Alligator mississippiensis: one gene and its partners. The protein of the gene in region 2 interacts with the protein of the main gene of each other region in a pairwise test. Links are inferred from orthologs where the notes say so. Each region holds a gene or a part of one and is shown on either strand. Other genes may lie near its edges.

Region 1 (3,751 bases), on a different chromosome or scaffold from region 2:
CGTGGCCCCAATGCGCTTGCGGCTCCCAGGACCAGAGCCTTGCCCAGCAGTGGCGTGGAAGGAACCTCCCAAGGTCCAACCCCTGCGCGGGGCAGGACCATCCCCACCCAAACCAGCCTATACAAACCCAGTCTAACCTCTTAGCAAAACTACCGTCCACCCCGACACGGCACAAGACATCACCCCCCGCCTGCCACAGGGGAACCGCAGCGCCCTGCTTCGACGACGCGCTCAAGAGATCCCAGCACAGGCCGTGCCCCGCTGACAGAGGAAGGCGTTTGACCCCCCCGCTCCCCAATCCACGGGGTCAAATTCCTTCCTAACCCTCAGTGCAGCGTGAGCCCGACCACGATCGTGGCAGCGGGACCCTCTCGCCATTGGTGCGACGCCCCATTAGTGCCGACACCGACACAACCCCCCTCCCAGGGCCGCACCCCTCCCGCAGGGCCGGATCTCGGCTCGCTCGTCACCCCCTTCGAGAGACGCTCGCACGCTGCTCAGAGCATCGCCTGCCGCGGCTCCCACGCTCCACCCGCCGCGGGGAGCGAGGGCGCGTTGCGCAACACGGTTGCTCCAGCAAGGAGGTGACTGATCTCTATCACAAGCAGTCAGCAGGGCTGCTGCCAAGCAAACAGAATAGGGCCGGGTCGCGCACCTGGATACTGAAAAGGTCCCAAAATAGGTTTGAAAAAACCCCCTTCCATCCCCAAAAAAACCCTCTTCCCCCCCCCACCCCGGGGCGCTCACCTGGCAGGGCGGCGCGGAGGTCGCGGAGCGGCGCTGCCTCCCAGCCCAGGCGGACGCCGATGCTGGGCAGGGCCACGAGGACGCGGGCGTCGCGGCGCGGGCGGAGGCGCAGGAAGGTGCGCAGGTCCAGGGCCACGGCCACGGCCACCTGCGCACACACAGGGGTCAGGGGCGGGGGCGGGGCGGGGAGGGGTCGCGGGCGGGGGGCGGGGTCAAGGGTCGGGGGGCGGTACCTTGCCGTGCACCACGGCGTGCTCCCCGTGCAGGATGGCCTTGCCCGGCGCCGACACCACCAGCGCCTCGGGAGGCATGACCGCACTGACGCGGCTCGGCCGCCGTAGGGCTCCAGTGACGCGCCCCACCCCCCGGCTGCTCCCCGATAGGCCGCGCCGCCGCCCAATAGGGGCGCGGCGCCGGCCGCCCAGCCAATCCTGAGGAGGGAGCGGGGTCAGAGGGCAGCGCGACGGCGGCCGAGAGGGGTCGGCGGGTGTCATGGCGGCGGCGGCGCTGCGGCAGGGCTGGCGGCGGCTGGGCCCGGGGGCGCTGTGCCGCCGGGCGAGCGGGGCGCCCGTCCCGCCGGATGCCGGGGCGGAGCCGCCCGCCAGGCCCGCCCCGCGGGTCTACACCCGCACCGGGGACAAAGGTAGCGGCCCCGCGCGGGGCAGAGGGGCCGGAGAGGCTGGTGCATCCATAGGGTCTGCAGCACAGGGAACCGTGTGCAAGGCCGCGAGCGTGCGCGAGGCGTCCCGCAGTGGGGATGATGGAGGGGGGGGTGGAGATCATCTCTGGTGATTGAGCTGTGAGGGAGACAGCACGGGGGCTCTTGCGCTGGAGCCGGTCGAGAGCTCCCTGTGTACAGACGGGCTGACTGAGTCTCCAGCACACGAACCTCGCGTTCAGCATGTGTGGGGATGGACATCTCTACCCCTGGTCTGTCGAGATGAGATGCAGCACGAGGGTTCCCGCGCTGGAGGTGATCGATAAATGGACAGACAGATAAATCAGTGCAGGGAATCTGGTGCAGGGGAGCGAGAGGGAGCGTGCACACGGTCTCCTGCCCCTGTAGACGAGAGGAAGAGATGGACAGGTCTCATTTCCAGCGCACAGACCTTGTGTTCTGCCCTATGGAGAGCTACACCTCTGTCTAATCAGCGTAGAGATACGGAGCACAAGGTTTCCGGCTCTGCAGAAGACGGATAGCCATCATCTTCAGTGCAGCAACCCTTGTACGAGAGAGCGAGCGTGCAACAAGGTTTCTTGCACTGGAGATGATATAGATGTATCTACCTATAGACACTGATTTAATCCGTAGGTCCAAGGAGGTGATCGTCCCCCTCTATGTGACACTGGTCAGGCTGCAGCTGGAGTACTGCGTCCAGGTCTGGGCACCGCACTTCAGGAGGGATGTGGCCAGCGTGGAGAGGGGCCAGAGGAGGCCACCCGCACGATCAGGGGGCAGCAAGACAGGCCCTACGAGGAGAGGCGACGGGACCTGAACCTGTTCAGCCTCCACAAGAGAAGGCTGAGGGGGGACCTGGTGACCATCTATAAACTCACAAGAGAAGGGTTTGGGGGAGACCTTGTTTCCCCTAGCGCCCCCCGGGATAACAAGGAATAACAGCCACAAGTTGTTGGAGAGTAGGTTTAGATTAGGCGTCCATAAGAACTACTTCACAGTCAGGGCGGCTAGGATCGGGAACCAACTTCCAAGGGAAGTGGTGCTGGCTCCTACCCTGGGGGTCTTTCAGAAGCGCCTTGATGCCTACCTGGCTGGGGTCACTTGAGCCCAGTTTCCCTCCTGCCCAGGCAGGGGGTCGGACTTGAAGATCTCCAAGGTCCCTTCCGACCCGACTTCTATGATCTCCAGCACAGGACCCCTTGTACTCTGTATCTACAGGGATCTACATATCTATCCCCAATCTGTATATAGATACCTCCAGTACAGGAAACCTTGTGCAGAGAAGGAGAATCGTCTTCAGCACAGAAAACCTTGTGCAAGAGAGAGCATGCACGTGGTTTCTTGCCCTGGAGACAATAGATAGAGACTGATTTAAACTCTAGTGCAGGAAACCTTGTGTTCTTTACCTATAGAGATCTAAAGGTAGAGATTTATATGAATCTGTAGGCAGAGAGAGAACTCAAGGTTTCCTGAGCTGGAGATGATGGGTATTATATTTATTTATGCATGAGCTTTTGTGAACTAGAGCTCACTTGTATGGGACATGGTGAGAAGATGCACAGGAAGCAGAGTAAAAGAAGGGGAGAGAAGTTGGAACAGCAAAGACCGGGGGGTGGAGGGGGCGTGAGTAGGGCTGGAAGAGACTAGCAAACCTGTAGGAAAAAAGGACTCACTGAAACGAATCCAGGTACTGGGTGGGGGAGAATCCATCGTCCCTGTTTAAACCCTGCAGTGCAGTCCCTGGCCAATTGCTTGTTCTGCAGTGTCCCGTTCAAATCTGTTTTTAAAAGGCTGCCATCTGAGAACAGCCACCCTTGGGTCAGCGATGGAGGGTCTAGGGAGGTTCAAGTAGAAGAAGCATACCAGAGAAATACCAGTGCATTGGGTGCAGCACGTCTCTAAAGGACACAGAGGCAGAGACGTCCCCCTCCTGCATCTGTAACACAGACCTAAGATTGCCACTTCTGCAGGCCCCAGCTTAGTGCCACTGCAACGAGTTGTTCCAGTCATGGGCCTGTCTGTTCCAAACCCTTTTCATGTTTGTGGCTTGTTTTTAAAGGATTTTCCAGCACATTCACAGGTGAGAGGAGGTCAAAAGACGATCAAGTATTTGAAGCTTTGGGAACAACAGATGAATTGAGTTCAGCTATTGGGTAACAAAACCATAAATTTTCTGTTATTTGACCTTTGCTTGCCTCTGCATATTTTTTTTAAAACTGGGAAGCATCTCTCAAAAGCAAAGTTCTGATGCTCATGCCATGCTGTTGCTACAGATCTTTTGTAAAGGGGACACTGTGCTTAGGAGTTCATCTTTTTTACTTTGCT
Region 2 (3,751 bases):
GGGGGTCTTCAGGAGGAGGTTAGACGAGTATCTAGCTGGGGTCATTTAGACCCAACACTCTTTCCTGCTTATGCAGGGGGTCGGACTTGATGATCTATTGAGGTCCCTTCCGACCCTAACATCTATGAATCTATGAATCTATGAATTACACATTGACAATGGTGAAACAACATGTTTTTGTCACATTTTTTGACCAAAATCATTAAGCTAATGACACAAATTCATGAAGAGACTAAACCTTTGAAGGAAAAAAAGAACAAATCTGCCTTGCAAAGAAATCTTGCAAGCAAAGAAGGTTTTGACTGTAAACTTTCACCTGGCTCTACTCACACACTTCTAATTCCCTGTCTCTTACTATATCCAGTCCTGTCAGTTCAGATTGTGAGCAGGAACGTAATCTTCATATTTCTATGAGATGCCTAAGCACAACCACTTTTGGCAGTGGAAGAGTAATTGTAATTTAGAAGCTTGTCATACTCTCCTTCCTACTCTCTTACATGGTGATACTCTCCTGTTTTCATTTTTTCCTGCTATTCCGCATTGTCACTGCACTATTCTCCTCTTCTCTCACTCTTCTCTTTGCATCTTCTATCATGTGTTTTTTTGAAAATGCCAAACACATGTCCCATCAAATTCTTCATAACAGCCCATTTCTAGAAACACTCCTTACCTACCTCTCCTCCCTAACCCATCCACCTCTTCCTGAAACAATTTTTTACATATCTGATGGTAAATCACTTGTGAACATACGACGGGAAGGTGTCTCATGGCTCATCAAATCTAGTCCTCTGCATTTTCAGGCAATTGTTAACAAATCCCTGTTTGGAGCAAATTATGTCTCCTACTGCATGCTTGTTCACAAGTCAGTGTCAGCTGGTGGCTTAACGTGATTTTCTTACTATAGGTGGGACTATAGCAGGCTCCCACCCAGTCTGGCCTTAAGTACTTCCCCTGCTTCAGCTTACCTTTCATCCCACGCCAAAAAAGTGTTCTCGCAATATCTCTCCCTTGCTGGACATGGTTTATTACCATACAAGATAATGTTCAAAGCCTGCCACCCCTTTCCCCAGAGGGTCATTGCAGCCCTCATCACACAGCTAAGCTCTCACCCACAAGGTCCTTGCTCTCTGCCAGCCCTTCTGCCTGAGAGGGCTGGACACTTCTGACCCACCACCCCCAACTCTAGGAAGCTCCCCACAGTTTTCCTAGCACATCTCAAAATACAGTAATAAGTGGAAGAGACTAAGTAAGGACAGTTGCCCTAGACAGTGTCTCAAAGCATATGAAAATCTGGCCTGTATCTATTTAAAGGCTATATATGAGTCTAACCTCAACATCCAAGTCTGAAAATGTTGGCCCTGGGGTTTGAAAATCCCACAGAGTTCTATCAGCATCAAGAAAATGTGCTCATTTTAAGTTGGCAGACTAACACCCTGCCCTTAATATCTAAGTCAAACTCACTGCTATCCTCCCTCAAGGCCCTATTTATCTCCAGGTCAAATCCAAAATTGCCCCTTTCATTCTTAAAACTCCATATATTTGTTCAGTCTTCCCATGTCAATCTTTGCCCTTTCCTTCCACTGTCCCCTCCATGCTCTTCTAGACCTGACTTCATTTAACTATCTTTACCAGAAGCCTTCTCATCTACAGTTGCTGTTATTTGAACTATCCTTTTCGTGTCTCTCCATCTTACTGATTTCCATCTCTTTTCAAATCTCACTAAACAAGTAGTTGATTGATCACTGTGTTACTCTGGTTTTCCCAGGTTTAAGTCCCATGGTTTTCATCAAGGCAAAACCAAAGCTATTTGCTGTAGTGAACTGCATCTATCTTTTTTCTTTTGTGAAGACCTTTTATTTCATTTAACTTATCGTACCATTTTTATTTATTTCTATATCTTTTAAACCTGTAAGAAGTTTGGAAGTAGAGTTTGTGTAGGCAAATTTATATAAGATCAAATTGTATCATGTTCTTCAATAATGCTGTGTAAATTTGCTTACCTGAGTGAAAATATGAGTCCAGTGATGTCCTGTTCCTTTTATTTTTCTTATCAAAACAGTCAATTGGTTTTACAACTATGATACATCAATGTTGAGGCAAGATGCCAAAAGCTGCCTCAGCTTTCCCTCCTCAAACTAGATTTTCAACATGGCCATGTACAGGACCATTGTTTTCAAACCAGTGGATGCAATAAAAGAGTAACGTGTCATCCTCATTATGACATAGACCTCTTGGCTGTGCTTGGATACTGTAACACTACAAATGATTTGGGTGAAAGGCAACATCTCTTAAGCCTGGGTAGGCTGTGGCGGCATCCAAAGTCTCTGAGTTTTCTGCTGCTACAGTCTTACTTTCAACTGGTCTCACTACAGTTTCTGAAGATCATTTCTGATTTTTCCAGATTTATGCTTGCGTGTGTTTTTAACAAAAATGATTTATTTTTCCATATAAAAAGTCCAGCAGTTTAATTCTCTCAAGCCAAGTTGTCTCAAGTCATCCTCCTGTTTTCCATTCTCATATAACATCTTGAAATCAGTTAAAAAAATTCTTTTCTCAACACTAACCTTCGAGATAATGATTTCTCCCACCTAAGATATTCAAATTAGATTTAGTGCTTAACTGATGCTGAAGTTGACAAAATAACTTCCTCCTATCCAGTATGAGATGTGGAATTATTTTCTAACGTAAACTTGGCGGCTGGAGTCTTTCTTTGACTGCAAGTTAAAAGAGTGAGGATAGCATTAAATCTGATTTAAAAGAATGCCAAGAGCATCTATCCATCACACCTGCAGTCATTATCTATAGCTACTATGTCCACCTCCAGAGCCTTCTTTTTTTATTATCTGATTTTATCTTATATGCCATATTATATCCACCTCCACGTCTTTACATTTTTAATTATTTGATTTTATGTTATATGCTACATCTTTAAAGGCAGAATAAAATGCTATCTAATTAGTGTGCCAGAGTAACAAACATAACAGTTACTTTCTTTTCAGATGAAAACTACCAAGTTTGCAGCAGCCTCCAGGTGATTGTTATTGTTTTAGAGGTAAATCACCTGGAGGTAAATCACTTCAGCTATTTTTGAGTTATACAAAGACGATAAACTTAGGTATAGAAATTGTCACTGTAATTTTTTTCCCTTCTGACTTCTATTTAATCTCAGACAACACAACAGCATCACAAATCACTATGGCAACTCTCCAGGGAGCATTATGTTTATTTTCAAGTATTCTACAATAGAGAGTGGGGAAATAGCTCCTTGCATGGAGTTTGTGTTTGGCCTTTGAGAGAAGGGAGCTAAAGTGTGCTAAATGATAGCAGGTCACCTTAGGGAAGGTGATGGTTGAAATGGGTGATCCTGAACTGCTGGAGAACCAAGAACATGGGACCTACTAAAGCAGATCTCAGCTGAAATGTTTAAGAGATCAGTTAATGAAAACAAGAATGGCCCAGTAATGGGTACTGATCAAAAGAAGAAAGCCTGATTCTTCTGAATTAGTAATTACAACAAGGATTAATGTATATTTGTTGCATGTTTTGCTTTTTCTTAATATTTCTGTGTACTGTTTTCCTTAGAGTTGGGTGAATTTTTTCAGCAAATCATCTCTTTGCTGGAAAAATGCAATTTTAGAAGTTCCAAAACTCTTCAAATTCAGGTAGAACTTGGTGAATAGGTGTAGGCAAATATATACACACATACAAAGAAGAAAGACAAAAATTTTAGAACTATCAAAACAGTTCATTT
Region 3 (3,751 bases), about 200 Mb from region 2:
TTGAAGTCAGGGCTCAAGTCATAGATTGTAAGGGGCTGGAAGGGACCTCTGAAGATCACTGGGTCCAGCCCCCTGCATCAAGCCGGGAAGACATCTGGGGTCAGGTGACCCCAGCAAGGTGCCCTCCAGTCTCTTGAATATTTCCAGGGTGGGCAATCGCACCACCTCTGGAGGGAGCTTATTCCAGTGTGGAGACACTGACTGTGAAGAAATGTTTTCTAGTGTTGAGCCTGAAGTTTGTGTTTGTGACCATTACTCTTGGTTTTCCCCTCAGCTGCCCTGGAAGTCACCGAAGGGGAAGCTGGGGAGCTTATGGGGAATCTGAGGAGGCTGAGGCCCCCCCAGGAGACAAGAGCCCCCCCTGTAAGATTTGAAAAACATAACTTGGGGGCGGGGGTCTCCGATTGCACTAGGGCCGCGTGATGGGCAGCCCAATTTGTTTTACAGAACACCCCTCAGGAGTTAAAGCCTGATTGAAGCAACGGCTTAGGAACGAAACAATCGCAAACTCTAAGATCGGCCCCGCCGCACTTCTCAGTTCTTTTCAGCTGGAGAAAAGCCCCCAACCGCGGAGTGACCTGCCCGAGCCCGCTCTGCAGCCCACACTGGCGCCACCGCTCTGCTCAATGGGGAGGGTCACGTGACGCCGAGTGCCCCGCCCCCACGCAGGCGGGCCCCGGGGGGCAGGAGGAAGCCCGCCCCGCCCCGGGGGTTTGTCCCGGCGGCGCCGCCGTAGCGTCCCAGGCAACCGCGGCGCCATGGACGCGGCGCACCGAGCCGCGCTGCTGGTCGCTTCCTGCCTGCACACGCCCGTCAACGCGCGCACCCGCGCGCCGGCCGCGCTCTACGAGCGGCAGCAGGGCCCGGTCGCCGCCGAGGAGCAGGTACCGCCCCGCCCCCGCGGGGGCCGCTTTAACCGGCCACGTGCCGGGGCGGGGGTAGGGACCGGGCCTGCCAACCCGGGGGGCGGCGACCGGCACGGTTAAGGAAAGGTTGGGGGCGGGGGCAGCCTAGACTTGCAGCTCACAAGCCAAATCATTGCTGTTGCAGTACATATGGGCACACATATATACATGTATGTGTGTGTATTTATGTATACACGTCTGCACATGTCTTGTGCATGTGTACACGTGTGTGTGTGTGTGTGTGTGTGTGTGTGCAGGCATGTACACCCCCCCCAAAAAAAAAGAGAAGTCAGGCCAGGAAACGCCTCCAGAGGTCACCTAGTCCCACCCCCCCTACCCTGACACAGGATCATCCCTAACCAAACCGTCCTACACTATCCATAATCTTAGCCTTAACAGTAGCTAACATCCTGCTTATGGCCTTGTCCCCACTTCAGAGGAAGACAACCCCCCCCCCCCCCACCCCCCCAGCCTGTACCGATCTGTGCACGGGATACAATTTCTTCCTGGTCCCAAATACAGCAATTAGTTTGATCCTGCGCAGAGGGGCAACACCCACTAGCTAGGAATGTCTGGGTTTAAGTCTCAGCGGGAACACTGGCAGACCCAGTTGCAATCCCCACCTATGGCTGCAGCCAACACCCAATGCTTTTAAGGAAAACTTAAAAAATAAAGCCCTGGCATGCAGCAGAAACAGGGGGTGGGGAGGCCATAATTCCTTCCCATTCCCTTGCTGCAAGCAGCAAAGCCCAGAAGCATGGGAAATACCCATAGTACATAGGCTGTGCCTACATCATCTCCAACCAGGGCTGTCCAGCATCTTCTTGAACCCCTCCAGTGATGGAGAGTCCACAGCTTCCCTAGGCCGTCTATTCTACTGCCTCACTATTGTAATGATAAGAAGTTTTTCCTGATATCGAATCTAAACCATCTTTCCTACAACTTCAAGCCACTGGTCCACATCCTTCTCTCTGCAGCTACAGATAAAAAGTGTTCTCCCTCTTTTTTATGGCAGCTTTTCAAGAATTTGAAAACTGCTATCATGTTCCCCCTCAAGCGCCTTTTCCTTAAGCTGAACATAGAATCATAGAAAATTAGGGTTGGAAGGGACCTCAGGAGGTCAGCTAGTCCAACCCCTGCTCAAATAGGACCAGCCCCAACTAGATCACTCCAGGCAGGGCTTTGTCAAGCCAGGCCTTAGAAACCTCCAAGGATGGAGATTCCACCACCTCTCTAGGTAACGTGCACACGCACATATACACACATATATATGCGCACACATGCACAAATATACGTGCAGATAAATATATACCCATATACACACATGTATATACATGTATATGTAGCATAACCTTTCCTGAGCCCAAGTTCATTTCATCAGATCCTGTGAAAAGATGTGCAAAGCAGTGTATAAAACAGAGAAAATTATCTGAATACTTAAAAATGAAAGGTAGGAAGGGAGGGAGGGAGGGGAATAGAGAAATAGAGGAGAGGTCAGAGATGAATGTTACAACTGTCATTAAGCAGCAGCAAAGCTAGATAACTTTCCTGATAATCAGGGAAATCATGAGTACGAGAGAAAGGGAAGTGTGAAATGTGTGGTGGTGAAAAGCAAAGAAGACTTGGAAAAAACTGAGAGATTTCTGGGAAGTAGGACAAATTGTTGCTGCAGAGATACGGAATACGTTGGAAGCTCAGCTAAATGATCCTGGAGCCCAACACCTATTTTTCGGAAGAGCATTCATTGGGGGGCGGGCAGAAGGGGTAATATATAAAATATAATTTTATTAATTTCATTTTGTTTTAAGAAATCCTCATAATACAATGTGCTGGTCAAGAAAGGTATTTATATAGTTGGTGGTGTCCACCCAGTTTGTCACCGTGCTTAAAACAAGTGCCCTCAATGTTTCTATAGCTGCAGCAAGTGGCAAGGAGATCTTGTTCACAGTGTCTAAATTCCCTAGGCAAAACGCATCATTAGTAGCCCCATTCAGAGGAGCCCTATCCCAGAAACTCCCGAGAGACTGAATCAAGGGGTGGCCCCAAATTCACCTACGAAAGTACAGGTTAGCATGAATTTAGTTAATCTTGGCTAAGTTATGGGCATTGCTATGAGTTGGTGAATAACTTTTACATTTAGAATAAATACAGACTTTGAAAAGAGCATTTCTAAAATCTGAGTGACAAATAATGTAGTAGTACACATATACACACAGCATGCTGTCTTCCTAATTTAGAAAACAGATGGTAGTACTGCATCACTTGTGCCCTCACAAATCTCTTAATGAGCTTTCTACATGCAAGTGTCTGAAGAGTGGATTTAGTTTATGTCCAATTCAAGAGAAAAGACCAGGATCTTCCTATATGGATTTATTTATATATACAAGGTCAAAAGAAATGCAAGGAGGTGTATACCAAGATATATTAATTAGTTAAATTTGGTCTTTCATGGGTGCACTCTAATTGAGATCTGTTACTATTTCATGTCTTTGTGATCCTATAACTAGGTTCATGTTGTGCTATGCCCTCTCTACTGTATGAAACTTGACTTGAAGACTAATGGAGTGAAAACTTAACTATAAGTATATTCAAAACAATAATTTTCTGTTAGAATTTAGGAGTGCATTAAAAATACACAGCAGTTATGATAGAACTCTGAAGTTCTCTACAAAGCAAACTTTTATCCTAATATCATAGATTTAAAAAACCCCAAACAAATTAGTTATATCACCTTAAAATACATTATGTTAAAAATTATTTAAGGACAGCTCTTTAAAAAAATCTAGAATAACCTGTTTTCATAATATGTATTTTCTAACTTCCCAAAACCTTAAAGAGTAGGTGTG

The links. The genes of interacting proteins can lie anywhere in the genome.
Region 1: the proteins of CBY2 (region 2) and MMAB interact in binary tests that used the Homo sapiens proteins (3 or more experiments, as listed by UniProt). The two-hybrid records come from large-scale screens. The link is inferred for Alligator mississippiensis from reciprocal best matches to the Homo sapiens genes CBY2 and MMAB.
Region 3: the proteins of CBY2 (region 2) and FAM161A interact in binary tests that used the Homo sapiens proteins (3 or more experiments, as listed by UniProt). The two-hybrid records come from large-scale screens. The link is inferred for Alligator mississippiensis from reciprocal best matches to the Homo sapiens genes CBY2 and FAM161A.

The regions. Positions count from the first base shown.
Region 1 is NC_081833.1:5,119,136-5,122,886, reverse strand, and holds the start of MMAB (corrinoid adenosyltransferase MMAB), read left to right. Parts: upstream 1-1,224; 5' UTR 1,225-1,239; coding exon 1,240-1,390; intron 1,391-3,485; coding exon 3,486-3,579; intron 3,580-3,751. Other genes in the region: MVK (mevalonate kinase), read right to left, coding at 748-895, 981-1,058. UniProt on the Homo sapiens protein: Converts cob(I)alamin to adenosylcobalamin (adenosylcob(III)alamin), a coenzyme for methylmalonyl-CoA mutase, therefore participates in the final step of the vitamin B12 conversion.
Region 2 is NC_081824.1:411,420,664-411,424,414, reverse strand, and holds the start of CBY2 (protein chibby homolog 2), read right to left. Parts: upstream 2,173-3,751; 5' UTR 2,001-2,172; intron 1-2,000.
Region 3 is NC_081824.1:212,486,975-212,490,725, reverse strand, and holds the start of FAM161A (protein FAM161A), read left to right. Parts: upstream 1-713; 5' UTR 714-758; coding exon 759-884; intron 885-3,751. UniProt on the Homo sapiens protein: Involved in ciliogenesis.